Tribolium castaneum: one gene and its partner. Each later gene encodes a partner of the first gene's protein in a complex. Links are inferred from orthologs where the notes say so. Each region holds a gene or a part of one and is shown on either strand. Other genes may lie near its edges.

Region 1 (3,500 bases):
ACACATTTGAAACAAAGACATTATACAGACCCTTTTTTTACAGAAAATCTAATAATGTTATCATTTTTTTCAACCATTCGTTTAACTGTAATAACTTAGTTTTATTTTTTTTAAATAGGACTCATGGTTGGCTATGACATTTTCGAAAAGCTTATTTTTTCTGATCTGGAAACAATATAAATACAGTTTGATATTTTTATATACTTTTGATAAAAAAATATATTTAAAATATTTAATAATAATTTATTATGCGGTTTTAAATTAATTAGTGTTAGGTAATGTATTTTTCATATTTTTAATTGAAAATCCAAAATTTTTTCATGGCCTACTATAAAGAAAAAGCGAAATGTTATGTTTTTTTTAAATATTTAAAAATAATGTAGTACACAAATAGACATATCCAATCAGAAAAAAATTAACTTTTCAAAATATCACGGCCCCCTATGATTCCTATTTAAGACAATACAAAATGTTATTACAATTAAACGAATGGTTGAAAAAAATCGCTGATAACATTATTAGACTCTCTGTAAAAAAGTTTTTGTTTCAAGTATGTATCTTTTATTATAAAAAAAGGTATGGTTTTTTTAATATTTCTCTAAAATGTCAACTTTTGTATATAAGTCGAAAACAAAAGACGATATCAAGATCCGCTTTTGACCAAAATTATTATCTCAAAAAACGGTCCTGGGAATCTGTCACTCGTTTTTCCTATTCGGACATCCAAAATGCCGCACCCTGTACATTACCGCGTGTTTCGCGTAAAAGTAGACTATTGCTAAAATAAGAGGATATTCTGAGTATTTCTGTTGAAAATTTATCGGAAAGTATTCATAAGTAACTTGGCAGCGATTTTTCAAAAATTGGTGTACTTAAAGTCTATCCGATATTGAAAACGGCTTAGCAATATTTTAAATAGCAAAAAAGTTATAGACCGATGACACACCCCTGGATTACCCTGTATAAAAAATCGTTTACTGAGAATCGGTTTTTCATAAAAAAATCCAGTTAAAAATTAAAAAAGGAAACCCCGAACAGCTCTATATGCAGATAACAAAAGATGATTAATTAAAGGAAAATTATACAAATTATTACAATTACTTCTTTATTCGTAACTTGAAACTTAAAAATAATGCGGAAAAGATTAAAAATTTTGAACAATAGACGTAACAATATTTATGTTCTTCCTGAGTTATGTCGAAAGCGATTTTACTGGTTTTCCTCATTTCTCAGTGATTTATCGCCAAACGTTATGCACTCACTGTTACCGAAAAGTTTCATTCCACTTCTCCCAAAATGGTTCGTTTAATTTACGTGTCAATGGGACGCATTGTATGAATTAAATATTTTCGCAATTATTTTCTACGATACTCTTGACAATAATTTTGCATTACATTGAACACGTAATACAGTAATATTGCTTAATATCCCAGTTCTGGCAAGAGGACAAAACCATTTGACTCGATTGATGTCATCTATTGTATTTGTAATACACATTCATTATTTTGGAAAAGCCCTCATTTCGGAGCGAGATCTTAACATCATTTCAATGCAAATTATTGCAACTCTCATTAGCTATCCTTGTTTTAATTCTACACAAAACAATATTTTTGAATTACTCACTTACTTACTTTTCTTATAATAAGTATTTGTATTTTTTGCTTCAGGTGGCTTCATCATTACTTACAAATGGACCAGTTGTCGGAAGTGATATTTTACAACGCCATTCTATTAATTCTTTGTTGGATCAACATGATATTTTATTAGACATCGCTAATAAAAACAAACAAATGTACAATAATTTTATGGGTGAGTATGGAATGCAACAAGAACCAGTTTTTACAAAATTCTAAAGTGAAAAAACATTAATTTGCGACCTTAATTTGTGATTTTTAAAACGCCAATTTCTACCATCATTAATAAATTTTAACAAAATTTGGCAAGAAAAATGTTTTTTCAACATTGTTTATTTTCAACAGAATTAGATGGTGTTTTAACGAAATCTTTCCAGTAGGTTTAGTTTGGTATTTGAGTTTAACATTAAAAATGTATTTAAGCATTTTTTGGAAAGCTATACTTTAATGGACTAAAATTCAGTGTTTTAACGAGTTTCTTTTTGAAAAAAAAAAACTTAGTCACACTAAACAGCCCAAAAGAATGTCAATATCAATGTAGTTTAGTTGTTTTTTTTTAGCGAAATTCCACAAAGTTAGTCCGTTTTTTCGATTAGAGAAAAGATAAATCTAACAAAAAGGGCAAAAATCATGTCATTTTCGGCCTCATTTGGTAAATTCACTACAGCGTGCTCAAAAAATGGCGCACCAACTCAATGGTGTGTGGTAGAGAACTGGTTAAACATAAAGCTAAAAATAGTAAAAAAATTCATTGTATTACAGTTATTGATAAATAACGGATTTTAGATAAATGATATGTGGCAACGTTGTCTAACAGTCATGATCGCAATAGAATTTGAGCAACAATAAAAATAAATTATTTTTGAAACGGTTTCCTAGGAAATAATTCCCTGTGTTGCCACATCTACAAATTGTGATTTTTTGGATGAATTTTAATTTTTTTAAGTTAAAAAAACTGCTAAAATCTGATAGTAAATTTAAAAATAATTATTCATCGTTTTGTTACGGAACGATTACCTGGTATGATACATGAAAACATAAAAAAATAATGAAAACTGAAGAAGTTAACAAAATAAGTTTGTAGCTCCAGATTTTTTAAAATATGACTTTTTTCAACATTTTTCCCGTAATCTGCACTTGCTTCTCAATAATGTACCACTGAGTTGGTGCGCCAGTTGTTGAGCACCCTGTATAAACAGGTCAAAAAAACTTCGATTTTGATCAAATTTTTTGACAAAACTTACAATTTTCTGCCTTCACTGGTAAACTGTTGGTCACTGGACAGTGAATTTTTAACTGAAAAATGTGCTTAGCCTTTTGAAAAACAGAAAACAATGACTTGTTCAGTGGGGCAATTTCGCCAAAAAAAAATTGCACATTTTTGTTGAAAAGTTCTCGCCTTTTTATAAGCACATAAATTTTTGACAAATTTTTTTTGCCCCAAAACAGACCCTCTAACATGAATGTGGTCTGCAAATTCATCATCATAAATGCCTAATTAAAAAACGAGCCTAAATATTAGATTTTCAAATCTACTTGTTCCCAAGAACAAACTGAAACAAACAGTATCATTGCTAGAATTTCAGATTTAGGTAGTAAATAAATTGCAAGCACAAAGATCTAATTAATTTTAATTAATCAGTTTAATTAAAATTATAATAACAACAGTTAATTTTGTAAACCACTAATAAACGAATTATCGACATTTGGATATATTTTTTGTAAAGGGGTCCAGGACACATCATACTTTTGTTTAGGTGGTTCACTGAATTTTAAAGGTTGGGAACCACTACTCTAACAAGACGGACAAAATAATGTAATTTTCTTAATTTTTCGAAATGTGTTCAAGTATTTATAATACTTATT
Region 2 (2,769 bases), on another chromosome or scaffold:
AGGAGTTTTAGCGATTTCTCTAATTTTAGTACAAAAATTTCGTAGTATATGATTTCGGCATTCAATTTTTTTAATAAAATAATTAGGCCCGTATGGTCTTGCATTACGAATTTTTTTGTAGACGCTACTATCACCATCTCCTATGAGGTTTTTAAATCTTACGTTATGCATGTCTACTGATTTTTTAAATCCATCCAAAATAATTGCTGCTTCCATTGAAGTTGAAGTGTTTTTCCAATTTTTAAAACATTTATGAGGGGGCGTCGTTTGGTTTTTTTTCTTATAATACATACATTTTTTACAATTTTTATTTTTAACTCCCACGTATAAAATTTTTTTAGTCCTTGCACCGACTATTGTTGCAACACCAGAAGATGCGTTATATTTTAAAGAAATACACAAAATTTATATAATGTAAGAGTAACGCAGCTATATCTTCGCAAGCTAGTTATAGAAAAATTGTATAAATTTAATAAAAAAACGAGAAATAATTCCTAAATTCTAAAATAATACATAATTATAAAAGTATCATTTATTTTACAAGGCGTAACGTAAACAAATTATATCCCTAAGACTGGATCTTACAATCTCTCGATACGTTATTTGTACTATAATTATTACTGGGTATAGTTAGAATAAATTTTTACAACAATGTATTTTTCAGAATTTATTACCTGGATAAAATTATCAGACGAAAAAGCGGGTTTAATGAAGTTTTCATCATTTTAATGAGATATTCCTAGTAACTTTTTTAAAGTTAAACTGTTTTCTGAAAGAACAATAATGTTTCACCAATTAATTTTTTTATTTTATATTTTTTCAATGCAAGTGATCCAATTAGAAATGCACATGACACATAATATAGCGAACAGAATTCGGTTAATTAAAACATAAAACCCAATAAATAAATGGTGTAATGGTGTATTATTTTTTACAAAACTATGCTAGTATTTTATTATTCTTTAGTATCAAATTTTTTTAACAAAATAAAAAACGTCTTTTTTACTGTATGTTGCTTGAATCTCTGAAATAAGAGAAACTATCGTGGGCGATAGTGGAATTCAGTTTGTTTACATTATTTGCATTTTATGAGAAGGGACAAGACACCCCGAGGCGAAGGTCGGATGCCTATCCGATGATTGACAGCTGTCACTGAAAACAGGTCTAAAAAAGTATGCAACTTGTAGTACACCAATTCTCAACAATCGCTTCGGTACCCTGAAGCCTTAAGAGAAGTTTGTGTTTTTCAGTTTTTCTCAATATTGAACGTCTTTAGTGTTGGCAACCAACCATACAATCGCTTATTTTGTTGGTGTGAAAGTGGTTTGTGTCCGGGTATTTCCGGAAACTGAAGGAGCTAACTCGTGTAGCTGTCTTCACAGAAATAAAGCCTCGAGTGAAGTTAGCCGATAAATAAACACGCATTCTAGGAAAATGGCGGACGAACAGTTGCCTACTGGGTGGGAAAAGCGGTTAAGTCGGTCAACCGGTAATTCGGTTAAGTTTTAATCATTCTCCCTTGACTCAAAACGTGTATTTTAGGCCAACACTACTACCTGAACGTTTACACCAAAGAGTCCCAATGGGACGTTCCCGACAAACCGGCAGAACCTGTGTCTTCGAGCGGCCCCGAACAAGTCCAGTGCTCACATTTACTCGTCAAACACAAAGACTCGCGAAGACCGTCCTCTTGGCGAGAGGAGAACATCACAAGGACTAAAGACGAAGCCTTGGAATTAGTCAAATGTGAGTGTTTTTGGCCAAGAAATGTCACCACTTTTGAACGTTTTTTCAGCGTATCGCGAACAAATCGTCCAGGGCAAGGCCTCGTTTGCTGACTTAGCCTCAAAGTACTCGGATTGCTCGTCTGCTAAACGAGGGGGCGACCTTGGCTCGTTCAAACGGGGGGCCATGCAGAAGCCCTTTGAGGAGGCGTCGTTTGCGCTCAAGGTTGGGGAGTTGTCAGAACCTGTCTTTACCGATTCGGGGGTGCATATTATTCTGCGTACTGTTTAGATTTGTACTCTTTCTAGACCATTTTTACATTTATTATAAGTTCATTCATGTTCTTTCAGGTCTTGTTAACGTAATTTATGATGCATCTATGCCAAACAAATTCATATTTATATATATTGCGATGAGATTGGAGCTGTAAATTTAGTGTAAATTTCTTTTATATTGTACTTTTTACTTATTAATGAGGTAACTTATTCCTGATACTTTTGTTATTTTGTTTATGCACAATAAAGAGCCCTAAGCACTCCTGTTAGCCCGGATTTTATTCCAGAATCAAAAGTAAAACATTTGCTAAGATGCAAGCATAATACAAGTGAGGATGAGAAGATTTAAATCAATAATAGGTAATAACTATCTTTTATTTTCAAAGTGCCTTTCGCGTAGTTACAATAGTTCGAAACTACTAATACACACAGATTTTTTTACACAAAAAGTATTGTTGCAACGTTTTGCTTGTACACCATTAAATTTTATTGAGATTACTTCAAACCAGGATGTAGTCTTTCAGACGAACCGATCGGTATCGTAAATATCTTTTGGTCACCGTTGTCGAAACATCTTATTTTGAGGATTGTTTATCATAAACAGCATTAACTGCTGTAAAACGTTATGGTGTAACTACAAAGAAAACGATGCTTCAATAATAATCAATACAGGGTCTTCCACGTAATTTTACAAGGCCTGCGCCTGTAAAATGCAATCAACAATACATATTCCAATACGAACTCGATTACAAATTTTGAAAGATTGGAT

Evidence for each region. Proteins that work in one complex are often made in the same cells at the same time.
Region 2: the proteins of orb (region 1) and peptidyl-prolyl cis-trans isomerase NIMA-interacting 1 are in contact, whole or in part, in an NMR structure (PDB 2N1O), measured with the Homo sapiens proteins. The link is inferred for Tribolium castaneum from reciprocal best matches to the Homo sapiens genes CPEB1 and PIN1. Residues at the interface, in NP_001352172.1 of Homo sapiens: Arg206, Ile207, Ser208, Pro209, Pro210, Leu211, Pro212, Phe213; in NP_006212.1 of Homo sapiens: Arg17, Tyr23, Ser32, Gln33, Trp34, Glu35.

Annotation. Positions count from the first base shown.
Region 1 is NC_087400.1:9,088,809-9,092,308, reverse strand, and holds part of orb (cytoplasmic polyadenylation element-binding protein 1), read left to right. Parts: intron 1-1,667; coding exon 1,668-1,809; intron 1,810-3,500.
Region 2 is NC_087394.1:12,589,712-12,592,480, reverse strand, and holds peptidyl-prolyl cis-trans isomerase NIMA-interacting 1, read left to right. Parts: upstream 1-1,331; 5' UTR 1,332-1,434; coding exon 1,435-1,489; intron 1,490-1,542; coding exon 1,543-1,746; intron 1,747-1,795; coding exon 1,796-2,016; 3' UTR 2,017-2,269; downstream 2,270-2,769. UniProt on the Homo sapiens protein: Peptidyl-prolyl cis/trans isomerase (PPIase) that binds to and isomerizes specific phosphorylated Ser/Thr-Pro (pSer/Thr-Pro) motifs.